Schizosaccharomyces pombe: one gene and its partners. The protein of the gene in region 1 purifies or fractionates together with the protein of each later gene. This does not show direct contact. Each region holds a gene or a part of one and is shown in the gene's direction. Other genes may lie near its edges. The genes, in order: hfi1, taf6, spt3 and taf12.

Region 1 (7,753 bases):
AAGCATCTAAACTTATAGAGAACTCCTTTGGCGGATTAACAAAGCGTATTATTGCTTGCTTAGATGTCCGTTCCAACGACGCTGGTGACCTTGTAGTTACAAAAGGTGATCAATATGATGTCCGTGAAAAATCTTCTGGAAGCGAGGTTAGAAATCTTGGAAAACCTGTGGAGTTATGTCAAAGATATTTTCAAGAAGGCGCTGACGAAGTCGTTTTTTTGAACATCACTTCATTTAGAAATTGTCCAATGGCCGATGCACCTATGTTACAGGTTTTAGAAAAGGCAGCTCAAACAGTATTTGTACCTTTAACAGTAGGTGGTGGAATCAGAGATGTATCAGATCCTGATGGGACTTTTCATCCTGCTGTCGAAGTTGCTGGTATTTACTTTAGATCAGGTGCCGACAAAGTATCTATTGGAAGTGACGCCGTTTATGCCGCAGAAAAGTATTACGAAAATGGGAAGAAATTGAGTGGAAAAACTGCTATAGAAACAATTTCTAAGGCCTATGGTAATCAGGCAGTTGTTATTTCGGTTGATCCTAAACGTCAGTATGTAAAAGTTCCTGAAGATACTAAACACCATGTTGTGAAAACATCTCGGCTTGGACCTAATGGAGAAGCATATTGTTGGTATCAGTGCACCGTTAAAGGAGGTCGTGAATATCGTGATATTGATGTTGTTGAACTTACTCGTGCTTGTGAAGCAATGGGTGCTGGTGAAGTACTATTAAATTGTATGGATCAAGACGGTTCAAATGCTGGGTATGACATAGAACTTGTTCGTCTTGTTAAAAACTCTGTGAATATTCCAGTAATAGCTTCAAGTGGTGCTGGTATTCCCCAACATTTTGAAGAAGTATTTAAAGAAACGGATTGTGATGCAGCTCTTGCCGCCGGAATTTTTCATCGACAAACTTGTCGCATAGAAGACGTCAAAGAATATCTGGCAATACACGACGTTCTGGTTCGCACTTAGCTAGCGAAGTCCGTCTGAATTACGATAAAAAAATATTTGTATCTAATTCCTTCCCCTTTTAGCACTAAATTAGATGTCAATAGTGCACTGAAATTGCATATGCCAATAAAATTTGTTTTGGATAATATAAATTTTTATCCAGATTATTAAAACTATCTGACATAGAGTAGTATTTATTACTTTATGTAATATTTACTCAGCAGAATTTTTGCATATCCTCTTACGTCTTTATCGACTAAAATTATAAAACAACTGTACAAGATGGCCAGTGAGGGCGCGGACAGGAAGTATACCAAAAAGGGGACTTTAGATTCTCTCCAATGTTTTACGAGGAAGCTGCTTATAATAGACAAAAGAATTGAAAGAGCTAGCAAAAAAGGCCTAGGAAGAGACCTCGGGAGACTAAAATCTTTATAATTGTGAAGAATAAACCGTAAGGCAAAACATATCCTCAGTGATAAATTTAATATATTTGCAAGGATTAATCCATGAGAGCCTAAATTAAACCATGATAGAAGGAATTTTCCAGTAATAAAATAAAATACAGCGGAAGCCAAATAACACTTCCCTTGATCATACAACTGAGAAGAGTTGGCTGCTGAAACATAAAATGCTTCCAACACGCCGTTTGCAGCCATAAACGGAATATACATTGCGTACCAAGATAAAATGCTAGAGCTATCAGGAGAAGCCCACTTACTTCCTGCGCCAAACAAAAGAACAATGTCCGAGTAATTACTTCCAAAAAGGATAAACAAACTCATATAAGAATATAATTTTAAAATCCATGCCAACAAATTTAAAGCCTTTTTTTCATCTTTTTTGTTCTTATAATGCGTTAACTGAGCAAAAACAATGTGAGAATGGTCCTCTACTGGTCGAAACACGATTCTCGCCAATAAAGAACCATAATTGGAAGCTAGCGCATACGGACCTTGAGCAGAAGGAGAAGCATACCATGCTACCATTATCTTATCGCCCTTTGTGATTAGGTGTTTTAACAACACTTGATAAGTATGTGAACAGATTATTCGAAGAGTAGAACTATCCCAAAATATATACCTCTCGTTTTCTCCCACTTTGTGGAGAAATATGGAGAATGGCTGTTTAGCAAAATACCTTAAAGTAAAAAAAATGGTTACTTTTTCTGACAAGTTACCGAGGGCAAAAGGAAGACTTGACGGTGCCTTATTCCTTCCTAAAACAGAAATTGCAAAGGACAATAAAGAGCAAATAATTGTTCCAAGTCCTTCTGCTGAAGCAGTCTTGGAGAACTTCTGGCGCCATTGAAGAACTTCATAGTATGGTTCAGATAGCAACTCAATGAAACTAGAAACGGTGTAAATAAAAATACATGTTTTAGAATAAGGAAAATTAGGAAGTGAATAGAAGTAAAATAAAGAAACCAGAAGCGATATTACGATACCAATGTAAACACTGATCAAAGAAGTATTCTTGATCAATTGCAACTGATCACTTAATTTTTTTGATTTGTTTGACTCAGTAGAAGTAGAGGTAATTATTGCATTTTCCGAAGGAATTCTTTGCATAGCTAATCGAACCGACTCCCTGCTGAGGAAAAGGATCGTACTCTGTAATATCTCAAAATGAATAGAAGAAAATGCATAGGCGCTAGGACTAGTTAACCGAATGGTCAGTTGGTTTAAGAAGAAAGTCAATATTCTCGAACTTCCTTGAAAAAATATGGAGGAGCGCAGTCCCTTCGAGGACGACTGCAGCAAAGAATCAGATTTATCCATTAGCTAGTTGGTACTGATCTAGATTCAAAGAATTATACTACAAGTCAATAGTTGTTTACCTCTTTCTTCCATTAATGTCCCAACTTTTTTTATGTAATTCGTATTCTAACTTATAAATGAGATATTTACTTGGTGGATTTGGCGCATAAATGGGTGTCTCTTGAGCGCGCAGTTAACTTTTCAGGACACATTACTAACATAGAGCATTAAGGAATTCTACAATATACTTGAGTTAACGAAGTAGAGTTGCCATGTTTAACCCGCCGGCTATACAGCCATATTTGTATTAAAGATGCGTTAAAGTACAGTAAGCTTCTACTGCTTGTAATTCATATGCTGTTAATACCAGGTTACCTTAAACTTCCATAAGTATAATAATCACAAACCCATTTCACGACTGATTTTAAGGACGTAGGTACAATTAAAATTCGTTTTCCTATTTTATAATTTTGTGGTTAGATAATTAATAGTAAATCAGATACTCAAGAATATACAGATGATTATTACTGTATACTAAAATTTTTTTAGGCTGAAGAGTGTTTGATGTTTAGTGAAGCGTACCGTAAATTAAGCATTGCTGGCATGTAATAACTTGGACTACTTCTAGTTTAAGGCATCATTCTACTAAGTCTGAAAGTTTTTTGTTTGAAACTCATTAAGAACCTTTGTAGACAACTTTCTATTAAAAAAAATAGGTTCTTTATTTGTACTTAGCTTTACTTTTGCATCTGCTTTTTAGCTACAAGTTTGAACAATTTACTTGTGTTTTACACCAATACTGGGACTTATGCGATTAAGCTTTCTATTTTAATTCTGCTATTATTTTTTTTTGTCATAAACTTATTTTGATGACCTTGATGATTAAATTGTACTAGAAAAATGACAGAAGGAGTTACTGTACAAAAAGTTCAAAGCGCTAGCTCGAATGGGCACAAACCCAACACAGTAATTTCGCAAATAATCTCAGAGATGCAATCACTTTTGGGTAGCAGTTTCGAGGTGTATACTAAAACAATGACGGACTTCTTAATTGGACAGTTGAGCAGAAAGGAAATGAAGTCGATGCTGTTAACTTTCGCTGGAAAATCAAATTTTGGTAAGATATAAATTTTTATTTAATATTGTTCTGACACTTTAGATAAACTACACAATTCAATCATTTTTCATATTCTCAAATTGATGCAAAAAAATAATGATACCTTTAGTGCTCTACATCATTTACCTTGGTTTAAACGGAAGAAAGTCGATAATAGTTTATTTTTACATAAAAAAATTAGTTCGCAGAATGCACAGGTTCGATTAATCAAGCGAATAGTAATGTCTTTAAGTTATAAAGACCGGGCTAGGATCAAAACTGCTTTAAAAGTAGGCTTTATTATAAGTCTTTTTTATCACCTTTCTAACAAACATATCTAGGAAAAGCCAGTTACACCAAGTTTGATCTCAGGATTGCTGCTGGAAACGAGAATTGCAAAATTACCTAAAATTCCTGTATCCCGAGACAAGCTGAATTCAGGTAAGCCTATTCTTTAATAGGTTCTAAGGAAGTATTCAAAAGTGTAACCATTTAATTTTTATTAACGGAAATTTCCTTTTAACCACAATTTGGGTAATATTTTCACTAACCTCATTAGTATTTGTAAATGATATTAAAGCCGGCTATGTTGCACCTCTAGCATGTGAAACACTTGAACTTCCAGATTCAGAATCGTTAAAAGAACGAATTACAGCTATTTCTCTTGAAAATGGCTTATTGGGTGGTGTACAAAAGGGTGTGTCTGATATTATATTGGCTGGGTTAGAAAGCCATCTAAAGAACATTCTAAGCAGATGCTTTTCTATATTAAACAAAAATATTCGACAAAAAAATACTGAAAATGATGCGGCAGGTTTTACCATTAATGACCTTAATCTAGCATGGACTATTGAACCTCATGCTTTTGTCGAACAGTATCCACAGAAGTTAAGAATGCCGTTTTTGCTTCATGATAGTTATACTGAAGATGAAATTTCAATTTGTGCAGAATCGCCAAGCTACATGCTTGCAAGCAATGATGCGCAAAGTGATAGGAATTCTGTTGCTTCCCTTTTAGATGAAGTGCTTTCATAACCGCGGAGGTTCTTTTTTTTTTAATCTAATCGTCAGAAGTGCTTTATTTATTTACAATCTTAAAAGCTTCAAGGGCTATTCTTCAAGCGTTTCAGCTCGCAAATATACAAGACTTGATTATCCTTTTAAGTTAGATTTTTTTCACATATTTTTTTTTTTTAATTTATAGTAATGAATTTAATATATAACAGGTTGCGAAATATGTAAGATGAAGCAATATAGATATTCTAAAATACGTAATTATCCAGCAAGATTTACCGACAGAATACTATTATTGTTCAAGATTTGCTAAAATATAGTATTAGTAAAAACTGTTTAAATACGATCATCAGTATCCATATCGATGCCAGCATAAGGCGTCCGGAAATCCTGTTGTCTATTACTGAAACTTTCACTTTCGCCAACAGCTTCGTCAACAGAAATGCGCTCATCGTCCATCTTCTTTAAAGATGTTTCTTTCATTGTAACGTCCTCATGAGTAGTTTTCTCATTTTTACCGTCCTCCGAATAAGATCTACTAGTAGCCATCTCTAAGGTGGCATTGTCCATAGCTTTGCGGTCGTCAGGATCTTCCCAAAATCTGCGGTTACCCTTAAAGAGGCGACGTACCCATTGAGGCAATAAACCCCCCTCGACACGCCATGTCCAAGCTTCTTTTTGATTATAGTCAGCCGGTACAAGTCTACCGCGTGACATTTTGTCAATAGCATAAATAATGGAGTTTAGTAGAGCGTAGCAAATAATACCGGCAATCAAGCCATACGCAATCGAGTAGGTAAATGGCATCAAAGCAATTGTAATAAAAGCAGGAATGGAGTCACCAAGGTAACTCCAGTTAATCAATGTAGTACTCTTCATCATCATACTGCCGACAAGTACTAATGTAGAACCGGTAGCCCAGACTGGAATACTTGAAAAAATAGGAGCAAAGAAAAGAGAAATGAAAAAGCAAATGCCTACAACCATACCTAAAATCCCTGTTCTACCGCCAGCCGAAATACCAGACCCGGATTCAATAAAAGCAGTAACAGGTGAGCAACCAAAAAGTGACCCAATAGAAATACTTAAAGCATCGACGATGTAAGCAACTGCGGATCCTTCAAAGTCTTGAGTACGAGGATCGACCAAACCAGCATAGTTAGCCATTGAGTAAAGTGTACCAGTCATATCCATAATGTCAACGTACAGAAAAGTAATCAGTGCAATGGCAAATTGACCGCCTGTAACGTTCCACTGTTGGGCAACAAGAATACGGTTAATTTTTCGAAAGCTAACAACCTTTTTGAAAAAATCAAAATTATAATCCCCTGTAAGCGTGTGGGGAAACATAGTTACTAATGAGCGTCTAGGCCAACTTGTGATAGTGACAAGTGCGATTCCAGCAAGGACAGCACCTTTAAATTTGTACATCATTAAAATAGCAGTGAGAACACCGCCACAGAATATACCTACCCACATTCTTCCTGATTGTAATTGATGACCGTTGCAGCTATAATCAGCGTTTAGGTATTCTGGAGGGCATCCTCCTAAAGCGACAATATCAGATGAGGAATGCCCAATGACTCCTAACCCAGCACTTGGACTGAGTCCGATAATTGTGAGATACAAACCAATACCAGCACCAGTAGCAAATTTCAAAGAGGCAGGAATAACTCGCGCCAGCCATTGGCGTAGACCTATAACAGTTAAACCAGTAAAGATGAATCCTTCAACAAAAACAGCTAAAAGAGCTTCTCGATAGGAAACACGTCCAGTGCCATTATATCCGACAACTTGGTACGCAAAATAAGCATTTAAACCCATACCAGGGGCCATACCCACGGGCATATTGGCAAAAAGACCCATGCAGAAAGAAGCGAGAGCAGAAATGGCAGCGGTGGCTGTGACGAGATCACGATGAAAGTCTTCTTTGCAAAGTACATAGTCATCAAGTTTGTCACAATCATCACGATTAGCTTCAGTACATTCGCAAGTGCCGCCCGTATCTACGAGAATGGTAGCATTGACAGCCAAAATGTAAGCCATTGCAAAAAAGGTAGTAAGACCAGCACTAATTTCGAGAGAAAAGCGACTGCCTTTACGCTCCCGAGGATGACCACATCCCTCTAGACGAAACCAACGTCCGAATGCCGAACGAGCGACGATCACGTCGAACTCTTCGACCCAATTCCTTACTTTTTGTGTGATGCTCATCTTCTCGATAAACTAAGGAAAAAAAGAAAAGAGGATTGAAATATTAAAACAATAAAAACGAGAATACTTATAATATATGTATATATATTACACTAGGTATCCAAATAACCTGCCGAGGATAAATAAAACACAACAAATCAACGGAAAGATCCGTGTTAATGCTAAGCAAAAAGCCCTTTTCACAAAAATAGATTACTTATTAAAGATACAAATATTAGAGAAATCCCAAAACCCACAAGGAAAGAAACCGATTTTGCTTCCAAACCTCAAAAACAGTAAAAGCAATTTAAAAAACTTTTGATGAAATTGTAAACAAAGATCGAGATAAAAGCAATCTAATCTTTAAAGTTGTTTGATCAAAGCCGTTTTCTAAAATCCAGAACCTTTTCGACCTACCACTAATCTAAAAATTTTCTGCTAAGCGATGAATCTCGATCTCAACGTGAAGATTGAAAAAACTTTATAATCCTTATCAACTGGATGCAAACCTACACCTAATTAAGTACAACAGTGAGTTTTCAGTCCAGGACCTCTTTATTACTGCAAAGAAATAGAAATTGGTGTTTAGAAAAAAGTTTGTAAAAAATGCAAAGTGTCGCTGATGGACCCAAGGACTGTTAAATACTAGTCAAATTTGGGCGCTTATATTTAACAGCCAATAGCTGTGCTATCAGATACTGCGTCAATTTCGCTACTTCAAAAAATGAGAT
Region 2 (8,656 bases), on another chromosome or scaffold:
GAATGGAAAAGGATTTACCTTTGAAGAATATGTAAACAAATCTTGGGATGAGTCCAAGAAAATTGAACTAATCATGAATAAACCATCCGCCCAAACTTATGAAGAATATGGAAAGCTTTTACCTTTCCTCAAAAAGGCTGAAGACATTGCGATTCAACAGTCAGATATCCGGCATTGAATTGATTAAATGCTTTTCCATTTCGCACTTGATTATGTGATTAGCTATTGATATAACGAGATTATTAATGAAAGCGAAATCCACTTTTTTTTTTAAAAAATATGAATAAACCTTAGGATACAAAATGATAAACGTTTCCTACATGAACATTTTTTTGAGCTATCGTTTTGAGAGCTTTGAATCACGAGTCTAAATTAAGACAAATAAATATGTAACATAAAGTAGTCATACACCATATTATTAAACAAATTTTTGCATACGCTTTTACATATAAGTAACACAATTTAAGCAGGAAAAAGCGTTTAAACATAAACAAATATAAAAAGGCTTGAGTAACAAAGACAATTTTTAAAAACATACACAAGTTATTTATTTACAAAGGAGTGTAGGGTTGCTGTAAGGTTAGTAGATAGAATGCAATATTTTAAGGTACATTTTCTTTTCAAGTAATGAAGTACCATGGACGAAAAGGGAAATTGCAAAAAAATAATTAGAATAGAATAGAAATCGTCAGCTAGAGAAGTGCAAAGTAATAAAGCGGTAGTTGGAAATACATTAATACGAATATGGGATAGAAATATTACACGAAAGAAAAACATAAAAATTAAAAGAGTGCATAGGGAAAATTAGAGTCGTTATTGATCCAAAAATGATTCCCAACGCTCAATAATTTCTTTTTGAGATTCAATTGCAGATTCCAACCACGTTTCAACACTAGCTTTGAGATCATCAACTCTACTGGTTGTGAGAGAACTCAAATCTCGTTTTAACAGAGTTGTTGATTCCGAAAACTCTTTTTCCAGATCAGCAGCTTTTGCTCGATATTTTTCGTATTGTTCTTCCAAGTAAGGGAGTGATTTTTGCTGAGATTTCGCTTGCTTTTTACATTTCTCAAGTTGAGTTTTAGCACGAGAAACAGCTTGAACTGAAGATTGCCATGTCTGCCACAACTTTTGACGTGTAGTAAAGGCATTTTTGGCACTCTCCACGTACCGAATGTACTCCTCCAATGTAGTGCCCAGTGTCAAATTGTCTTGAGCAACCTTACGTTCTTGTACAAATCGAAGCTCTACCTGGAGTTGGGAAAGACCATCAAACTTGGATGATAAGGTGGGCTCTAAATCAACTAAAGATAAATTTCCAACAGCCTCGCCAAAATCATGGATGGCTGAAGCGAACTGTATGCGTTGATCTATGGATAAAAGAAGCGCGTGATAAACCGACTTTAGTTGAGTTTCCAACGAATCAAGTGTATCCTTTGCTTCAATTAAAATTGGATCCTGTTCGGAAAATTTAGAAGATCCAGAGGTATGGAAGGCGGAGGTGAATGAGTCAAGTAAACCAGATGTTGAGGGACCTGAGCGCAAAGGACTTGATGAACTCTCAATGAGAGTAGTACGATGTGTCATTCTAGGGTCAAATGTCTCTGCTTCAAGAAACAACTTAAATGAGTAATCATCACGTAGAACCGGATGGGCAGATATTTTGCGAAGCATTACCTCCAAGGCTGCTCGTCGCTGTTCAATAAATTCATCATCAAAACGGCCTACAACCTGCTTTTCCGGGATGGGAGGAATGATACAACCCGGATGATTATTAGAAAGCAATTGATAAAGAAAAGCAAAATCATTATATCGTCTTTGTACAGTCACATTGCTAACAGAAGGTTGATTGTGTTCCTCTAAACGAGTGGAAACCGAATATACGGTATGCGATTTAGTGATTTCCTTAACGGTATGAGGGTCATGAACTTGGATGTAAAACGGGGTAAGAGATTGAGGTGCCGCTGCCGGGTGCGCCTTCTGATTCTCCGTATCTGTTAATGAGGTTGAACCTTGCTTCTGGGAGGAGGCAGATGAGACAGTGTGTGTAAAATTTGGAGCAGAAGATGAGGCAGCGTCTAAAGTATCTACCGTCTGTTCTGAATTTGGTATAGTGGGATTTTCCGTTGCTCCGATAGGAGAAGGGGAAAAGGAGTTCACTTCTGAGATCCAAGGCTTATTTGCAGAAAAATCTGCATTCAAAGCGGGACTAGATCCTTTTAACGGATTAATTTTTGTATTTAAACCAACTTCCAAACGGTTGTTTTCGGGTGCCATAGAAGGTGCATCAGAAAATTGCAAGGGACCTAAAGGTGCAGAATCCAAAGTTAACGTTTCAAACGGAAGAGATTTCAAATTGACGCTTCGTTTCCTAGGAGATGTATAGATATGAGTTTTTGGTGGAGAAGCTTGAACATTCGGCGACTCTTCTTCCACTCCTTCAGCTGAGGGCTCTTGGTCGGTTTTTGGAGGGTTCAGTGGAGAAACGGAATCTGCGAATGGATTAAATGCATCGTCTTCTTCATATATATTATGCCCAAGCATGATGGTGGCCGGTTGGGTTTTTGGATCTGATCACTGAAATCGTGCCTGAAATGGTGATGCGCAGCCCAACGACGACTAGCGAAAAATAACGATGGTTAAATACGTTTAGCAATGCGGGGTGACTTGCGGTGCAACTAGATAAGTGTCAACAATTCAAGTTTCTAATTCCTTTTAAGGCTACATTAAATTATATTTAGCTTGTAGAAGCAGTATATTGCGTTATACAGTATTGTGAGTGGTGGGTGATAATATATTTATCATTGTAACAGCTAATAACTGGACTGAGAATGATGCTCTGTTCAATCTAGACTTCTAATTTTAACTACTATTTTATATCAATATCAATGGATGTTTTAGTAAACAAACATATAGTCTTCTGCTATTGTTCAACAAATTGAGATTAATTGGTATTCCATGTAGTGTATTTTGATGCGTAACGTAATGTTTAATAGCGATTTTAGTGTAGCTCACTGTCTTGTAAGCTACGCAGTTTGGTATCTGATTTAAGGATACGTAGAACTGCGGTGAGTTTTCCTTGTGATCTATTATATTACAATACACAGGTTGTATAAGTAGCAACTGAGTATAGGTATTGTATTAACTGGGTTATAATGTTACCTATCACTAATATAGCTCATAACTGAACTGAGGAACGAGGTTCAGCAGTAGCTCTATTTATAGTATTCAGATAATATAGATCTTAATAGATTATCATTAAGATCAATCTCCATATCGTATCATACATGGTACGATATATAATTAGAACATGTGACATATAGTGATACGCAACGTAGTGTATTATAGCGTAGTGTAGTATTGCTGACAAGTATGTTAAATAAAGCAGTTGCTTCTAACATCGTTAACTACTTCTCTGCAGATGCAATTCACTCATTGATCCATAAATCGTTCATCTTACTACCAAGTCATGTCCTTGACAGTATGGAATATTGAATCCATCAAAGATGTTGCTGAAATGCTTGGGATTGGCAATCTTGCCGATGAACCAGCAGCAGCTATTGCAATGGATCTCGAATATAGAATTCATCAGGTGGTTCAGGTAGGTTTCGTGAAAGTAGACTATGAGATTTTACTTTCTTTGGAAGAGGCTAAAATAACTAAAAAATTGTTGCTAGTTTTTTACGATGCCTTTCAATTTGCTAGATAGTCTGCTTTATTCTGACATTAAACATAATTCTCTAACAGTATTTGATTTAGGAAGCCACTAAGTTTATGGTTCATTCTAAAAGAACTGTTTTAACTAGCGCAGATATCTCTTCAGCGTTACGGACGTTGAATGTTGAGCCGTTATACGGCTTCAATAATTCTCGTCCATTAGAATTTCATGAAGCCGCTGTAGGTGCAGGCCAAAATTCCCTTTACTACCTTGATGATGAGGAAGTGGATTTTGAAAAAATCATAAACGCTCCTCTCCCTAAAGTCCCTAGAAACATTTCTTACAGTGCACACTGGCTGGCCATCGAAGGTGTGCAGCCAGCCATTCCTCAAAATCCAACTCCCTCAGATCACACAGTTGGAGAATGGGCATCCAAGGGTACTTCAGGGGTTATGCCAGGTGCTTCAACTGCTGCTAAAGAAGCTCGAAACGGTGTCACTTCGATGGACAACGTTGAGATAAAACCGTTGGTGCGACATGTGCTATCCAAAGAGTTACAGCTTTATTTTGAGCGTATTACCAGTGCATTGCTTGATGAAACTAATGTTGAGCTCCGTGATGCTGCCCTATCGAGTTTACGTGACGACCCCGGATTACACCAACTTTTACCATACTTCATAATGTTTTTATCGGATTCTGTAACTCGAAACTTAGGAAATCTTGTGGTTCTTACTACTTTAATGCACATGGCCTGGGCCCTTCTTGATAACCCCAACCTTTTTGTAGAGCCTTACGTCCAACAACTCATGCCATCCATCCTTACTTGTTTGGTCGCGAAGCGCCTTGGCAGTGATCCTAATAATCACGAGCATTATGCACTAAGAGACTTAGCTGCTTTTTTACTCGGGATTGTTTGTGATCGATTTGGTAATGTGTATTATACATTAAAGCCTCGCGTTACTCGCACGGCACTCAAAGCATTTTTGGATAACACCAAGCCATATTCCACTCATTATGGTGCCATCAAAGGCTTAAAAACTATGGGGAAAGAAGCTATTAGAGTCCTCGTCGTTCCCAATATCAAAGTTTACGAAGTCCTAGTTCGGAAAACCTTGGAAAAAGGAAATGAAGAGGAGATTTACGAGGCCAATAAATGTATGGATGCTTTGTACGACGCTTTGCTATTACTGCGGGATGATCAATTACCAAATCAACGAACTCTTCCGCCAAATGCTAGTGGTCTTCTTGAGAAGAACGTTGGCAGTTTAATGGCTGAAAAGATAATGAAGGAAAACGATACCTCATTGCTTCTTGGTCTGCTAGAATAGTCTTCGTTGGGCATAAAATATTTGTTTTTGAACAATTTAATCTATGAATCTCGGACTTTAAAATATTTACCCAATTTTCCACACTACCTAAACCATTATAGGTTCTATAATTAAAATGTTATTGATATTCATGTTACATTAAAACAGGAAGCACCGAATAGCTTTCAAATGAATAAAAATAGAATGATGATAATATTGATATAGTTTATTTCATGTTTTGATTAAAGATGTGAGACTAGCTGACAATGCCGGGTTTTAAATGAAAGAAATACGTAATAGAACAGAAAGGGGAAGGAATGCTTGATTATGCCAAAGAATGCGAATAAAAGTAAACGAATTAAAGCAATTAAACTAGGTGAGGGAATAGCACCATAATAAATAATAATACTTTATCAGATATCGATGGAAAAATAACTGCACTAATCGCTATCGAATTCATCATTGTCCCCCATATTTGTGATTACTAGACGTTTCATTCCTTCTTCAGCACTGTCCTCGTCTGAAGATTCAGAACTGCTGCTTCGTCGATTGACAAGATAAGATTGAATATCATGAGTAGGTGATCCGCTACGAGATTCAAAGCCGTCTGATTGAGTAGTTTCGGCTCTGGAGTCTGCTCTTGAATGTATTGACATTCCCATAATGGAAGGTGCAGTCCCACTATGGGTTGAGCTGGCACGTGAAGACTCAATCATTGAGATATATGTTGGTGCAGTATTCGATGTCGAAATTACCAATTCGTCCTCATCGTCATCCTTACCTTCGGTAGCAGATAATCGTGGAGTAAGAATGGTGTGCTGAGGAGCCATTGTACGTGAATGAAGCGAAGCAGGACGGGTGTGATAAACACCATGATGCTGGCTAGAAAATACCCTTGAGCGCATGCCTCCTAAGCCTTTGCTGGAAGACTTCCCATTTTGTGATGAACTTTTGATTGATGGGCTAGAGTGTAAAGGAGCCACACGGCCTATATCACTCCAGACAGTCGCCTTTGCACGGCGTAAACTCTGTACGTAAGAAAAAGTAGAACCATTTGACTCATGGTTGCTATTAATGGCATTCGAAGTTGGAAGGGAAGACCTCGAATATGGATCATCATGGCTCGATCGAGTAGCTAAACGTTCCATGCGATTAGTCTTCTGTCTAGTAATGATTATTATCTATTTATTCCTTCTTTGAATAAGTTGCTTGTAGAGTAATTCCAATTAATTTTTAAAAATTTCACAGACAAATGCCGGGATTAGAAAACGAATGGTGTTAAGATAGACAATCTTTTATTTGATTAAGCAATCAGCTAAAACTAATTAAACAAAGCTCATATATCTTTGAAAAGCGCAAGAATTAATGTTTCGTACTGAAAATTGCAAATGTGCGGAAGCTATGTTTACATGTCTCATTCTCGAACATACGGTGTCCCAGAGGTAAATCTTATTAGGTTTTACTGTAATATCCCATAAATTTCTGTAAATAACAATACGCAATTCAATGTGCTTTAGCGTACTGTAGATTCTTACACAAACGAGCCTTACATGCAAAAAGCCGATTTAATCTCCATTTTCCTTCTTAATTTTAAATACAAATTACATTTGACTTCCGATCTTCACTCATTATAGGAGACTGTACCGATTACATTGCCTATAGGGATCTTTCATCTCTCGTTATTCTCGTATAGCAAATTATAGCGCGTCGTAATTTTCTTTGGACGGCACATTCACTCTTTTGGAAACTGCATGTCTGCGAAGCAGTTGTAGAGAAGTAGATTTAAATGGATATCGTTGCAGAGACTCAGATTGAAGAAGAATCATTGATACCCGACGCCACTAGTACTCCATTAGAAACGGAAGTGGTGGCTGATACTACATTGCGTAAAACAGCTTTACATCTAGCTGGCGTCGATAATCTTTCAGAAGAACAAGTCAAAGGATTTATTTCAGCTTATGCTCCTGAATCTCAATGTACAATTGAATGGATTAATGATAACGAATGTAAGAAGCGAAAACTGGCAAAGGGTTAGTCTAACTCTATAACCGCGTATAGGCAACGTTGTTTATGCGGATGATGATGTTTCACGAAATGCTTTATTTCATTTAATTATGGAGTCTCCGACAGAATTTTCAGAGGAATTGGAATATCAAACGAAACCACACCCAACTGTACCGACGTGTCAATTCAAAATACGTTACGCCCGCTACGGAGACAAGAAGGTTAAAAGCGCACATCTTTACTCGAGATATTATCTGTTTCACGGTGATCCTCGAGAAGAAAAGGCTCAGAAGAGCAAATCTAAAAGGTATAACTTGTGAAAACCAAATTAGTCCGGGTGCACTCATACTTTTCAAAAATCATTTCCTCTACTTTTGAGAATCTCCTTTTACTCAATTTTATATTCAAATTACTAACACTTTCGCACAGTAGAAATCAAGATGAAAGGGGTTCGCCATTAGATGAACGACTAGGTCCTAAAGTGTCTGACCTTACACTGATGGAAAGAATATTCCAAGTTCGACGCAAGCCACGCAAATCAAGGAGAGACCGTCGTTCCAGGGTTTCCAAGCGTTAATTGTGTTGTAGAGAAATATTAAATACCCAGTTTATCCGCTTTTAAGTCGCTTTTCGCTGGACGAAGGCAAGAAAAAATTAATATGCTAAATTAGCTACAATTTTATAAATAAAATTTTTTTATTTAGTTGGCCATATTAAAATAAAACCGTTCTTTTCTGCGTTTAATAGAATACTCTTTTGGTACCTGAATGATATCGATAACCCTTTTAAGGTAGATGTAAGCAAACGACAATTTTGAATGGGATAGTCCTTAGCTTTAAGCAACGTTGTGATGAACAAAAATTACCAATACAGATTTAAATTGTAAGAGCTAAACTCTTAAAAAATGCTTAAAATTTTTCGTCGATAAATGACGGTCGACACAAAATAACTATACATAAATGCATCTGGTCCACAAATGGATAGGTAATAGCATCGACTATTAAAATGGAGAAGGGATCATGAAAATTGAAATGCATTACGGTAATGTAAAACATAGAAATGTAAAAGTCATGAAGACAGAGATCATTAATAAAATGATTACCGCTTTTCCTTTCCACGAGGACGATCGCGGACGAGTAATTTATTAACATTTTTACCTCTTCTTGTTTTGTATCCACCTTTAGCCAAAACACCCCAAGGAGATTGAGAAGGTTTATTACCAATGCTTTTACCACCACCACCACCATGTGGATGGTCACATGGATTCATAGCTGTACCTCGAACCGTAGGACGAATGCCAAGCCAACGTGAACGACCGGCTTTACCAAGCTGGCGATGTTGCCAATAAATATTGCTTACAACACCAATGGTAGCAAATGATGTATCCAAAATCTTTCTCTCTTCACCACTTTGTAGACGAACGATAGCATATTTACCATCAAAAGCTATGATACGAGCGCTACTGCCAGCAGAACGACATAGCTTTGCCTTTTGATTTGGATTTACACCAATGGCATGAATGACAGTTCCTATAGGAATTAATCTGAGAGGAAAACAATTTCCTGGCTTCAAATTTTTTGCTGCAAAAGTTCCATCTTCAATTTCAGCAGCTAGGACGGGGTCCATTTCTACTGGCTCGCCATTAGAACCAGTCTTCAAAAGCGATCGAAAGCTCTCAACTGTATCG
Region 3 (7,380 bases), on another chromosome or scaffold:
TTTGGAAATGTTGTAGACGCCGTTATTTCATTCACAACTTGTATCCAATTCAAGTTCAAGTCTGTGCTAAATTTTCTTGTATGCACATAACTTTCTTTTAGTGCATTAATACTATCCCAAAATAAATATTTGTGATCATCAATTTTCAATAGAAAAGCAATTTCCGTTTTGAGCGGCCATATAAAAGGCAAATTTCTCAAATGGTCGTTAGCAGAGCGATAGCAACTTATTATGAGTGAATTATCAACCTATAAAGGTAAGAGAAATTAGGACTCATTGCTCTGAGCTAACGAAAGCAGGATACTCGCCTAAACACGGAGACAAGGTTCCAGTGCTCCAGAACTTGAACGATTTAACACCTAAAGATTTTTATGATAAGTTCATTGCTACCAGGACTCCCGTCATCATTAAATCCTCCTTACCAGAGTCTGACTGGAAGGGTTACCTATGGCAGCAACAGGATTACTTGCTCTCTAAAATTGGTGATATCGTATGCAAGGTTGAGCCGATCGATCCTGTTTCTGGGACCTTTGGACAAGGTATGAGTCGAAATGAAATGTCCATCAAAGAATTTTTTCAAAAACTAAAAAATGGTGAACGACTTTATTTGACTACACAGTACGATGAATCCAACGAGGTTTTAGATGGAGATGATGAGGTTTCTCTTCTTGTTAAAAGTTTATGTCCTCATCCTACTGATGGTTTGCTTACCGACTTTTCAATAACCCCGGCATTAATGGGCAATTTGGTCCCCCAGCAATGCAATCTTTGGATTGGAAAAAGTGAGAACGGCACTTCTTCCGGTTTACACCATGATTTTCACGATAACATATATGCGGTCATTTCCGGATACAAGAGATTCGTAATTATTTCACCAGATCATGCAAATCAACTTAAACTCTCTGGAAAAATTTCAAAAATCCACCCTAATGGGTTAATTTCTTATGAAGGTGAAGATTGCCCTCAGCGCAGCGATGGACTCACTGAGCTTGATGCTGCAATTGCAAAAACACAATTTTTAGAAAAAAAAATTGGTTCTTTGAAAGAACTAGCGGTCCCTCAAGAAAGTATCGAACTATTGGAAGCTGAATATGAAAATGAGATGGACAGAGTTCTTCAAATGCAAATTGGCGGACCTGAAGAAGATTGGAATGATTTAGAAGAAGGAGATGCTGCTAGCTTGTTAGACGGATCAGTTGGCGGTGATCCGGAAAGTGATATTTTATTGAATGAAGGAAATGATATTGAAGCAACTAGTTTGCAGGATACAAAACCCGAATTACCTGATCATTTTACCAAGGTGAGTGTTAATGGATTGCATAAATTCATGGGATTTGATGATGCTAAGAATGTTGATGTTGATAAAGATGAGCTTTCTGCTCTTGCGGGGACAGTTCCTCTAGTGGTGGATTTAGAACCTGGCGACATGCTTTATTTACCAGCAAGTTGGTTTCATGAAGTCACCTCTTCAAGCGCTAGTTCTGGAGGTAGCGATGTACATATTGCATTTAATTATTGGTTTCATCCTCCCGATAATCTTGAAGACTTTGATCATCCCTACTTGGATCGCAACATTTGGCAAGCCAAGCGTCATCTTGTTGGAGAGGCAATTGATCAATTGTATGCTACTAACAAGAAAAACGAAAAACGACCGGCAGAAGACGATTCACCTTCTCAAAAGAAAACTTGTCAATAAAACACTTATTTATAAAACATTTAGAATTGAATAATTTTAAATTTATTAATACAAACCCTTGAAAATCCCTTGTACTAATGATATAAAAAAAAGTCGTAATCGTACTCCAATGACCCAAAAATTGGAAATTTTTGTACGTTTAAGAAAGACAATTGAAAAATGAAAGCATAAAAACGGGGATTTATAAAGATAAGAAGGATTTTTGGATAGCATACTTAGGTTCACTATTCTAAAAAAATTAATTGTAAATTATTCTGAGGGAGTTTCGACGGCTGTATCATGATTTTCAGTGGAAAGGGGGACATCTCTAATTATAACAAGTCCGGCAAACATAAATAAAGAGGCAACAAGTGAGATATGGAAAAGATCCTTCTCGGTGGCAGTATAAGCAACATTAATGATATTACGAATTTGAGTCCCTTGGGGGTATGACAGAGCAGTTCGTAGGTCCCGGAATATTGATTCAATTTCTGGGACAGGAAGATGATCTTTAAGGTCATGTAACAAACGACTTGAGAGCCTCTTACTCCATACGCCTCCTGCAATAGCAGATCCAAAGGCACCACCAACAGAAGAAAACGTTAAATACAACGTGAGATTCATACCTAATTTAGCATGTGACGATACTGACTGAACAGCAATTTGCGCACTTAACGTCAGTAACCCACCTCCCATACCAGCAAGTATAAGCACTAAAACTAGGGGACGGGTATAGTGGTTATCGTTAATACCAAATAAGATGATACCCAAAATCCCCAATACGTACATAGGAACAGAAATCATAAGCAACATCTTGAAGCGACCAAACCGCTTCATGAGAAAACCTGACAGGATAGCCGTCGTAGTCATTGAAAATACAAAAACATTAAGGGTAAGGCTACTCATGTCAATTGATAATCCATAAGAGACTTGAAGGAAAGAAGTTAAAAAATTTGAGAAAATATAATAAGACATGAAATATGTGAAAATTAAAACGCATGAACCAAGGATGGTACGGTCTTTCAAAGATTTTAAGGCGAAAACGGGATAGCGTGCATATTTGACGTCGTAGAAGCATAGGGTTACTAACAAAGCAATGGAGAGAGTTATAGTAAAGAGAGTTAAAATTGTTGAGTCTGGTGAAACTACCTGACTCGAATGGGAAAAAGGCAGCAACAAAAGCGTAAAGCCAGACACAAACAACACTATTCCAAGACCATCCAATTCCTGCCAAAACAAATAAAATAGTCTAAGTTTTTCAGGAGTGGAATGATTGATCAAGTTATGATGTTCTCTATATAAACCTGCAGCCTTGGCTTTTCTTTGGTTTAGGAAAAGCGAAGCCAAGAGAGGTAATGAAACTGTTGGTAAAATGAACGCCCATATACCATAACCCAATCTCCACCCATAATTTTTCTCAGGATGAAAGGCTTGAGCAAGCACTGGTCCAATCCAAACAGTTGCAAGATAGGGAAGTTCTGGGATAGCAGAGAGAATCCCCCGATTGAGTAGCGAAGATGTGTCTGCAATAATTAATTGAGATAACAGACCTAGCCCAGTTTGGCCGCATATATAGAGGATATATGCTACGGTAAACATTTGAATATTTCGAGAAAATGCCAATGAAAGATATCCCAACACTGTCATTCCTAATGCTAAACTAAGACTCTCCGAACGTCCAAAGACATCGGCAGCCTTTACCATTGGTGCTCGAACAACTGCTAAAAGAATATTGCCCACCAAATTGATTGTAGCCAAGTTTGAATGGGCGGAAAAGTTGCTGGTTGCGTATCTTTGCAAAGAATACGTAGTTTGCTGCTCTAATGAAGATGCAAATGACAACAAATAGAGACTAAAAGAGAAGACATTGTGTTAGCTTGATCATACCACAAACACAAACATTCAACAGATGTATGCAAACACTACGTGATTTATGGATTATCATGACTACAATACTAACATACCCAAGGTAAGCAACAATAATCGATCTTTTAGACCATGTTGAAGCAATTGCCTCAGCTTTGGAAACACCTTCTAGTGACAATTCTGAAGTACGATCATTTATGGGTCCAGCATTATCAAGCTCTTCTCTAAGGGGATGAAATTGCTGTTCTAAATTTTCGTTATTACGAAAACTCTTTTTACGATGCTCCATGCTTCCATAATTCTCAGTCATCCAGAGTGTATGGTAAATGGCAGTATGCAAAAGGTACGCCAACACAAATTATCAGATCGTATAGCAAATTAGAGTTTATCTAACCGAGATGTTTAATGAAGTTGGTAAACAATAATAAATAAAGACTGATGAAATGCAGACTAGTTAGTTAATAAGAGGTTTTTGGTTGCTTTAAGAAGCGGTTAAACTTTTTTAAATAATAGAAGAATTACACTTTGACCCTTTCTCCGAGGTTCAGGCTAAGCCGCCAATTTGATGTTCCCGCAATTAACTCCTCGAATTTATGAGTGATGGCTTCAATAGGGTATTCATTTGTTCAGAGTATTCAATTTAGTTTCTAGTCACACTTAAACATTTTGGAAGTATTAAAAATTACAGAGATTGGTAGCAGACGATTTTACAGCATGCTCGAAATAGAAGCATTAAGAAGAAATTGCAATATCACTCAGACTAATGAAATCCTTCTAAACACGAAAACATAATCTAAAGAATTGCTAGTAATATCACAAATTGCTGATAATTAGAAGGTGTTTACATTTATGGCAACAAAGATGAATGATCTAGCAAAAGAGAGTTTCAGACCAAAGAAAGTTGATGCTTTTCACTTTATAGATTACTCAAGTATCTACTTTAAACGGAAGTAAACAAGTTACGAAGGTAAAAAATTTCAAACATTTACAATCTTAAATTAATAAACCTATGCTTCAAAAAAAGACAGGAGTTACTCTTCTAATAACACTTCTTCACTAACTAGTTGTACTGGATGTTCTGTAACGAAAGAATGGACTGGGTTTGCAGTTTGGATAGTGTATCCAGCTCTCATAAAATTTGTTTGCTTTTTGCAAGCTAAACGTTTGACAATGGTTTTTCTTTTTCAACTTAAAGCACTTTATGCCCCATCAATTAGTCCTTCTTACTGGAAACTATATTTTTCTTGTCAGTTTGGAGTTCAGCAACTTGTCAACTACCCACCACTTTGGGAAGTGGTTAAAAATAAGCAATGCGGAATGACTGAGACTGGCAGAACCAGTAAATATCGTGTTGAAATTCAACAAATGATGTTCATTCTAGGGGAGGTGCAGGATCCTCTCCCAGAAACCACACAATTAGTCGAAGAGCTAATACGTGGACAAGTGATGGAGATGTTAATTCAGGCAAATGAGCTAGCTTTACGACGTGGCTCAAGATCTATTACTGTGGAAGATTTATTTTTCTTAATTCGCCATGATCGTGCAAAGGTGAATCGACTAAAGACATACCTGTCATGGAAGGAAGTGCGCAAGAAAGCGAAGGAGCAGGATGCCAATCCTGCCGATACAAAAGATCTTTTTGAGGAAGTAGATTCAAAAACAAGGTCAATGAATGCAGTTGCTATGCCTTGGGAAGTAAAAAATATGTTTACAGAGCCTGTACCGGAAACAGAAGAGTTTGAAGAAGATAACGATACGATGGAAATGGCATATGCGACGCGACAACGTCTTAAAATGGCAGATGAACGCACGAAGAAAATGACGCGTGAGGAGTATGTTCATTGGAGTGAATGTCGACAAGCCAGTTTTACTTATCGAAAAGGCAAGCGATTTCGTGAATGGTGTGGCATGTCTATTCTAACAGATACTCGCCCTGATAATGATATTGTAGATATACTTGGCTTCTTGACCTTTGAGATTGTGGCTACCTTAACTGAGGAAGCACTGGCTGTGAAAGATCGAATGGATCGGATTCAAAATAGCTCGGGTAGTGGAGGCTCTCATGCAGCGCATCATCCGAAAAATTGCAGTTTATTTGATGGACTTACTGAGGGGAGAACTCCCCTTCAAGTTTCTCATGTTTTAGAAGCTTTTCGTCGTTTGCAAATCCCCGATAAAACTCATACTGCTATGCGCAGTTTTCATGGGGGTTTGGTCAAATCTCGTGTGTATCTTATCTAATCATTTTCACTGTCTCTTCTTTTTTTTTAATTGCTGTAAGGCTTCCATTTACATCTAAATGCCCTGTTTTCCTGTAATTACCCATACTAGGTACGTATATGTTATTATCCCCATTACTGGTTCTCCTTGAAACAATATGGTTTAGATCTTACGAAAGCCCCTTTACTTTATGGAGATATTAACTACTCAATATATTTCATCACATTAGACTGTTGTCTTGCATCTCCGATTGAATTCATAATTTTATTTCTATCTTTCCACTAAGCGATATTCTTAATTGCAGCAGTGGTAGTATTTGGACTTTTGGATTTTTTAATATCAAATTTTTCTTATTATACTGGAATCTCATGATATCTGTGAATATTTGCAAATCTTCTTACCAAACTTCGTTTACTCTATACAAACTGCTGATTTTCGTAATGAACAAGGGGATCATCCTTTTGATATCGTCAGTGCGAAATTTTTAAAAAACAAAGGGTTTCTTTACGTTTTTTTTTTGTTTTCGAGAACATTTGAACTTCATCACTGAGCGTCATTTTGATCATACCTTCCACCTTAACATCATACATACGCCAACTCCAAGAATAACCGAACATTCGTATTCCGAAGCACTCACAGTACTTAAGAGATACAAAATTCAGGAATTTTAAAGACTTTTTGATTTATTATAATTGTAATTCTTTATAATTTTTTGCTATCCGAAGAATTCGCTCAACAAGATTACAACATGACATCTGGATCTCCCAAAATTACAAATTTGCTGACTCGTGTGAAGCGCATCATTCCACCACTTCTTGATACCTTCCACAAAGGTCAAGCCGGTCGAGTTGGTGTTTTTGGGGGTTGTCAGCACTACACAGGTGCTCCGTACTATTCTTCGATGTCGTCGATGCTCTTCGGCAGTGACCAAAGCCACATATTTTGTGAAAAAGAAGCTGCAAATGTCATTAAAAGCTATTCTCCTGATCTGATTGTTCATCCATTTTTACGTGAAAAGGACAAAGCTGGACCAGAAGATAGTGTCGATAAATGCTTTGAACTTATAAAGCCCATGATGGGAAGATTGCATGCCATCGTAATTGGGCCTGGATTGGGACGTGATGAATGGATGCAAGAGATTATGGCCAAAGTAATTGAGTATGCGCGCAAAAATGATATGCCTATGGTTATCGATGCTGATGGCTTGTGGTTAATTCAACAACGTCCCGAATTGGTTTCGGGTTATCATAATGTAATTTTAACACCTAACGTTATTGAGTTCAAAAGACTTTGCGACAAGCTTGACATTAAGAGTGACGGACCCGATGCTTGCAATCAGCTAGCTGGCAAACTAAATTTGCTCATCATTCAAAAAGGCCAATCCGATATTATTTCCGATGGCGCTACTGCATATGCTTGCTCCGTTCCTGGTGGTCTTAAACGTTGTGGTGGTCAGGGTGACATTTTAACTGGTATACTTGCTACATTCCTTGCTTGGAGACATGCTTATCTTAGCAAAGAATGGGATACAGAAGGTAATATGGATGCTAAAGAATGTCTCTTCCTTGCCGCATTTGGAGCCTCTGCCTGTACTCGCTGGTGCAGTCGTTTGGCGTTTA
Region 4 (6,665 bases), on another chromosome or scaffold:
ACATCCTGGAGAACTGTATTCCGTCGTCAAGCAAATGCTGCTGACAGTAAAGCATCAGCCGCGGCAATTGAATCTCTGATTAATTATGAAGCCGTTAAAACTTTTAATAACGAATCATACGAAATGAGCAGATATGAAAAGCATCTTTCCGCCTACGAAAAAGCCAACGTTAAGGTAGCATCTTCTTTGGCCTTTTTGAATTCAGGACAGGCTATTATATTCTCTACCGCTCTTACTTTGATGATGTACATGGGTTGTCGTGGAATTGTAACTTCCAACCTTACTGTAGGTGACCTTGTCATGATTAACCAATTAGTATTTCAGTTGTCAATTCCTCTTAACTTCCTTGGATCTGTCTATCGCGAAATGAGACAGGCTTTTACTGATATGGAGCAATTGTTTTCTTTAAAGCGCATTAATATCCAAGTGAAGGAGGCGCCAGATGCTCGAGATTTGGTTCTTAAAGGCGGATCTATTCAATTCGATAACGTTCATTTTTCGTATAATCCAAATAGACCTATTCTTAATGGTTGCAGTTTTAACATCCCCGCTGGAGCAAAAGTCGCTTTTGTAGGCGCAAGCGGATGTGGTAAATCAACAATCCTTCGACTTTTGTTCCGCTTTTACGATACGGACTCAGGAAAGATTTTAATAGACAATCAAAGACTTGACCAGATAACTCTAAATTCACTTCGAAAAGCCATCGGTGTTGTACCTCAGGACACGCCTCTATTTAATGATACAATCCTTTACAATATTGGGTATGGTAATCCGAAGGCATCTAACGACGAAATAGTGGAAGCCGCCAAAAAAGCTAAGATTCATGACATTATTGAAAGCTTTCCAGAGGGATATCAAACAAAAGTTGGCGAACGTGGTTTAATGATCTCTGGAGGAGAAAAGCAAAGACTTGCAGTTTCAAGGCTATTACTTAAGAATCCAGAAATTCTTTTTTTTGACGAAGCCACTTCAGCTTTGGACACTAATACTGAACGCGCACTATTGAGAAATATCAATGATCTTATTAAGGGATCTCACAAAACCAGTGTATTCATCGCTCACCGTCTTCGCACAATAAAGGATTGTGACATTATATTCGTTCTTGAAAAGGGTCGTGTTGTTGAGCAAGGTAGTCATGAACAGCTTATGGCTAAGAACAGTGTATACACTTCAATGTGGCACTCCCAGGAATCCCCCTTTGGCGAATCGAATAAATCCGGAGATGCATGATTAATTCCCTAACTAAAAAATATTATATCATTAAGCAGGCTGTTCAAGTTAATTTTTTTTTTCTTGAATATGGTCCCACTTTTGATATTTCATTCAGAAAGTTAAGTAGCCGTTTCTATAATTTTTTTGGTATTATTTTGTTAATGTCTTGAATACGTATTTTAATTTATTTTCTTGTTTTCGCTTATAATCTATTATAAATTGGCTGGATTAAATATTTCTACAATGTTACAAAAAAATCCAAAATTACTAAATGTGATTATTTTTTAGTTCATTTATACTTATCTATAATACGAAAATTAGTCATTTCCCCCATACTAGTAGACTTCAATGCTTGTACTACCTCAGGCGCTCGCGACGACCCTAGCTCGCAGTCAGTTTGGCAACTCCCAAATATTTGTGTAGTAAAAAAGCTGTGCTTGTCTTTGGATTTTTAATCTAGTTTATAGCATAAAAGGAAATAATAAAAAAAGGAAAATGAATGGGCAGCATTCAAGCCCTGGAACACCAGTTCAACGACCATCTGCTGGACCGGTAAATCAGGCACAATTTTCACAACAGAGAACGAACCAGTTAACATCTTTGTTACACACTATGACTATGTATCAGCAACTTGCTCAAAACGTTGGCCTTAATACTCCTCAGGGACAAGTTTATTTGCTTCAAGCTCAAACCATTCGTCGTCAATTACAAGGCCACGCGCAATCTGGACAACTTCCAAATCAACAACTCTTACAACAATTACAATCCAATGGAGCTCTTCAGCAAGGTACTCCGGAGCCTTCAAATACCCGCCCGCGACCTCAGTTGAATGCTCAAGAACAAACAATGCTTTTAGTCAGGCATAGGCAACTCCAAACTGCTCAGAACTACTTAACAGAAATGAAAGAGGCTTTAGGTCGCATTAAAAACGAACTTTCTACAAATGAAAGATTGGACACTAGTGCTCGCGAGGCTTTGGTAAAGCAGGAGTCCGAGTTGACTGTAAAAATCGCGCAATTTACCGCTGCCATTTCTAACGGCATTCGTTCCATTCAACAATTACAAAATAGGCAGGCATCTTCTGCTAACGGTAATAATACTGGTACATCAACTCCTGTGAACGCCTCAACTGATACTAGAAAAAGCACTGCTTCAACTCCTCAATTACAACAGACCCAAGCACAAGCTAATGCTCCTCAACAACGTATAAATCCCGAGACGTCTTCTGTTCCTGAAACTCCTGTTGGCGTTTCCGCAGCTAATGTTAGCAATGAAAGTACCGAGCTCGCTACTTCTGCAACTCAACAGTCGGGTTTGGCAAATAACGTTGAAAAGTCACAAACTCCTTCTTACATGTCAGCGAACCATTTACCCAAGGTTGACTCCAAATCACCAATACCGTTTTCTGTTCCTCCGAGTCGTGCTACATTAACTGGTGGATATGCATCTGGAAGTATTGGTCTCAGCACACCGGGATTATCTCGTGCTCCACACTACGAGCTTGACAATGGAAACCGGTTATTATCAAAGAGAAAATTGCATGATTTGCTACAGCAAATTGACTCGGAAGAGAAAATAGAACCAGAAGTTGAAGAACTCCTTTTAGAGATTGCTGATGAGTTTGTCGAATCAGTCACTAATTTTGCATGCAGACTTGCTAAACATAGAAAATCTGATACGCTTGACGTAAGAGATGTTCAATTGCATTTAGAAAGGAACTGGAACATCCGACTCCCTGGGTTTGCTAGTGATGATATCGTCAAGAGCGCTCGTAAGACTGGGCCCACACCTTCATATCAGCAAAAGCAAAACGCTATTGGAACTGCTAAAAGTTTGAATAAGGACTAACGCCAATGAAAGAGAATTTTATACTGTTATGCGATTTCATGGACTTATGTAAAAGAAAAAAGGTCAAAATTTTTAAAAATAAAAATCTAGCATTTCTACGGTTTTTGGTATCCTTAACCGTTGACAAAATTAAAATTTCCGAATTTGTCTCTATCAAAACATCCTACCCATCAATCTATGGTGCAATGTCGTCTTAAACTTTTAACGTTTATTTGTCATAAAGGTCAAAAAATAGCCAAACACTTTCAGTTCCAATATGATTGTTTTAGAAATAATTGTTTAAAGAATTATGGGTTCGAGAATCATATTCTCTCTATCCAACCTCACCACTAACTCTAACCGTTATTTAAGAACGGTTTCACCTTATGGATACGTTTTACAATCTCAGAAAATCATCATTAGACGACAAATTCGAGTCATTGTCCGTTGCCAGCAAACTTGATATTTGTCGATTGGCTTTATAATCCGGGTCTAACTACTATTGAATGTTACTATTTTTGTTAAGTAAATATGCATATATAATATTTAGAAGTAATATATAAGATTGCAAATGAAACAACCCTTAAATAAATAATTGGTTATGTAAGCTTCTACCTATATTGGAACATTCACGAGTTTGAACGTCCAAAGTATTTAGACATAAGCAATGTTTATATAAGCTATTAGAGTGACAAAAAGCATATAAGATGTATGCAGTTTGCCTAAAAGTAGCTACATGGTTAATAACAAAAATTCGAGACATCCCAATCTTAATATAGAAAAGCAGTGCTAAAACTGTCACGGGTTCGAATACTAACAAATGCAATTTCAAATGTTTCAGAAAAATATGACAAATTATATGCTCTTAACAATTGAATATAACATTCTAAAAAAAAAAATTTATTTCAGCATACCTGTAAATTCGTAATAATTTTGTCACAAAGCTTACCAAGGAGTAATTGAGGTTTGGTAGGATACAATTGAGGGTTGGATATTAATTAAATTAAAAACTATATTTTAAAAACCGGAATTAAATTCATGATATTGTTTTATGCATCGAATAGCAAATCAAACAGGGATAAAGAGAGGTGAGAGTAGTTTAAAGACAAATCAAACTAAATGAAAATATGAGGATTTGTGAAGAGAGCAGCGTAATTAAACACGTAAAAATTAATGAGATTTGTATTGGAAAACGGTACTCACTTGCTGTTTTCCTGCCTCACGTTTTAGCAAGTGATCTTCTATTCGGTCTAATGTGGGATTTGTAAAATGATTCCATGTGCTAGTATCACCGTATAACATGGCTGGGGCTCGGATGAATTGTTTTCCATCACGACACCGTTTACATTTATATGTTTCATGAGTTTCACAGACTGTGTGATCGTTAAGCTGAAACAGCTGCCTTAAGTTATCAAGCGAAAAATGTCTTTCGACATCTTGAGCTTCATCCACAACACAAGAAGACAAAGATTGCTTATGAGACTGCCTTTGGAATATCTTTTCTTCGATGGTTCCAGTAGCTATGAAACGGTAAACAAAGCAGTCCTTCTTTTGCCCATCACGCCAAACTCGAGCTAAAGCTTGTTGATCGGCGGCTGGATTCCAATCGGGATCAAACAGAATAAGACGATTAGCGCCAATAAGGTTAATACCACAACCACCTGCTTTAGAAGATAATAAAAACACAAAAGCATCCTTTTCCGGGTCATTGAATGTGTCAACTAAACGTTGTCGTTTATTTACATTCATAGTACCATCTAGCCGAAGAGCCTTGTAACCGCGAGCTCTACAAAGCTGCTCAAACAAGTCAAGCGTGGAGGTGTAATTGCTAATTAAAACAATTTTATCGTCTGTCTCTTGTTTTATTTGATAGAGCATTCGTTCCAACACTAACATTTTACCTGATAAAGAGGAGTCAATGTTTCTATCGCGCCCTCTTAGCTCACGGGGAATAAATCCTGGAGGGAATAGAGCCTCACAACCTTCCAAGTCCTCAGTTAAATTCAATAGATCAGGATGATTACATATTTTTTTTAGCAGACCTATAGCTTTTAGTGGTTGACTGCCGGTCCCCCTTAAGATTTTATTGATTTCAGGCGAGGTAATAAAATGCTTGTACAAAGAAAGCTGAAATTCGGAAAGGTTGCAAAAGACAACATGTTCGTATTTAACAGGCAAATATTTGGAGAGAATATCATTCGTACGACGAATAATAAACCGATTGACAATCTTGGCTAACTCAGCTAACTTAGCATCACCATTCTCCTTATCTTTTTCTGTTCCGTCAGCATCACGACCTTTTAAAATTGGAATTTCATAATTTTTTCTGAACTCTTGCCTTGAACCTAACAACCCAGGATTCGCAAAATTTAACAACGAAAAGTATTCGCTTAGATCATTTTGAATAGGGGTACCAGAAAGGATGACACGCCTTTGAACGTTTAGCTTGTCTAATGCCGTAAAAGTCAAAGAATCACTATTCTTAAGACGATGACCTTCGTCACAAAGAAGCATTCCAATTTCTGCGTTGTTGAGATGCTCAACATAACTTCTAAGGGTTTCATAACTGGCAATAAGCACTGGACGTGTGACTTGTCGTCCATGTACGGATGCCCATTGTTGCAAAGCCATGATTAACTCCTGTTTGGAGCTTTTACCGTCCAATATGAATGGAGTAATAGCATCTTTTCCTAACCATTTGACAAGTTCATTAGCCCAATTTTTGACTAAAGAAGAAGGACAAGTTATAATTGCCTTTTCAATTGTCGGTTTTCCAGCCTGAGGAGACTGTTTTAAAAGGGTCCATAACAAAGCAATACATTGAAGTGTCTTACCAAGTCCCATCTCATCTGCCATAATACATCCATTTGCACAACGGTCAATCCTTCCAGTTACACACTTGTACAAGAATTTGACACCTTCTATTTGATGAGGTCTTAGAATACGAGCAAGTTTTGGATCAATGACAACAGCAACAGGAGGAGGTGGAGGTTTTTCTTTCTGAATTCCTAGTAGATCTTTCAAACTTTTATTTGGTCTTCTATGCTTTGAGGTATTAGAGGTTATGAGACTTTGCTCGGTAGAACAGCTAGCCACTGTGTCAGTGGAGACACATGAATCATGGTCACTTTCAGGCTCACTATCAGAAATTTCTTTCTTTCCTTTTCGATTTTTTAACAATTCATCTTTTTTACGTTTTTCCGCTAAGACCTCTTTTATATCAGGAATGATCTCATCTGCATCAGTAGTGGGATCATATAAAACGATAGCAAATTCATCAGCAGGATCGTAAAGGGGACGAGGAATAAAATCCACCTTCCTTTTCATTCCCAGTGTAGGAGGTGGACGATGTGCACACAGTTTAGATATATCTTCATGACCCTTGATAGGTTTAGGCACAGAGAACTGTTTCTTAATGACTGTTGAGGGATCTCGTCGTTCATGATTTAGTATTAATCGATTAGCTTCTTTGATGGTTGCCAACCCAGACACATTTTCAGATACGTAAGCTGAATCATACTTCCCATCAACAGAACCATATTCGCTGTAGTTAACTCTTGGCTTTTTGCGTAAAGGAAGCTCTTTTCGCTTTTCTGAAATCACTAAAGAAGGGCATTTAAACTTTT

The links.
Region 2: the proteins of hfi1 (region 1) and taf6 purify together in Schizosaccharomyces pombe (affinity purification with mass spectrometry, with the first as the bait; 2 studies listed by BioGRID). This does not show direct contact.
Region 3: the proteins of hfi1 (region 1) and spt3 purify together in Schizosaccharomyces pombe (affinity purification with mass spectrometry, with the first as the bait; 2 studies listed by BioGRID). This does not show direct contact.
Region 4: the proteins of hfi1 (region 1) and taf12 purify together in Schizosaccharomyces pombe (affinity purification with mass spectrometry, with the first as the bait; 2 studies listed by BioGRID). This does not show direct contact.

What each region holds. Positions count from the first base shown.
Region 1 is NC_003423.3:3,575,322-3,583,074, reverse strand, and holds hfi1 (SAGA complex subunit Hfi1/Ada1), read left to right. Parts: upstream 1-3,355; 5' UTR 3,356-3,619; coding exon 3,620-3,836; intron 3,837-3,878; coding exon 3,879-4,105; intron 4,106-4,156; coding exon 4,157-4,256; intron 4,257-4,374; coding exon 4,375-4,850; 3' UTR 4,851-5,042; downstream 5,043-7,753. Other genes in the region: his4 (imidazoleglycerol-phosphate synthase), read left to right, coding at 1-980; Man5GlcNac2-PP-Dol translocation protein Rft1, read right to left, coding at 1,157-2,740; SPOM_SPBC887.17 (transmembrane transporter), read right to left, coding at 5,166-7,043. UniProt on the Schizosaccharomyces pombe protein: Component of the transcription coactivator SAGA complex. SAGA acts as a general cofactor required for essentially all RNA polymerase II transcription. At the promoters, SAGA is required for transcription pre-initiation complex (PIC) recruitment.
Region 2 is NC_003421.2:696,495-705,150, reverse strand, and holds taf6 (TATA-binding protein-associated factor TAF6), read left to right. Parts: upstream 1-3,453; 5' UTR 3,454-3,469; coding exon 3,470-3,601; intron 3,602-3,759; coding exon 3,760-4,986; 3' UTR 4,987-5,405; downstream 5,406-8,656. Other genes in the region: xks1 (xylulose kinase), read left to right, coding at 1-178; retromer complex subunit Vps5, read right to left, coding at 814-2,544; protein mug123, read right to left, coding at 5,406-6,113; RNA cap binding protein cbc3, read left to right, coding at 6,752-6,971, 7,024-7,276, 7,399-7,546; rml2 (mitochondrial 54S ribosomal protein uL2m), read right to left, coding at 8,068-8,656. UniProt on the Schizosaccharomyces pombe protein: Functions as a component of both the DNA-binding general transcription initiation factor complex TFIID and the transcription coactivator SAGA complex.
Region 3 is NC_003421.2:1,438,144-1,445,523, forward strand, and holds spt3 (SAGA complex subunit Spt3), read left to right. Parts: upstream 1-4,810; 5' UTR 4,811-4,858; coding exon 4,859-5,782; 3' UTR 5,783-6,457; downstream 6,458-7,380. Other genes in the region: histone demethylase Jmj4, read left to right, coding at 232-256, 300-1,696; siderophore-Fe(3+) transporter Str2, read right to left, coding at 1,946-3,527, 3,640-3,851; NADHX dehydratase Nnr2, read left to right, coding at 6,510-7,380. UniProt on the Schizosaccharomyces pombe protein: Component of the transcription coactivator SAGA complex. SAGA acts as a general cofactor required for essentially all RNA polymerase II transcription. At the promoters, SAGA is required for transcription pre-initiation complex (PIC) recruitment.
Region 4 is NC_003424.3:3,676,378-3,683,042, forward strand, and holds taf12 (SAGA complex/transcription factor TFIID complex subunit A Taf12), read left to right. Parts: upstream 1-1,611; 5' UTR 1,612-1,707; coding exon 1,708-3,060; 3' UTR 3,061-3,651; downstream 3,652-6,665. Other genes in the region: ABC family Fe transporter Atm1, read left to right, coding at 1-1,230; rad54 (DNA repair protein), read right to left, coding at 4,210-6,665. UniProt on the Schizosaccharomyces pombe protein: Functions as a component of both the DNA-binding general transcription initiation factor complex TFIID and the transcription coactivator SAGA complex.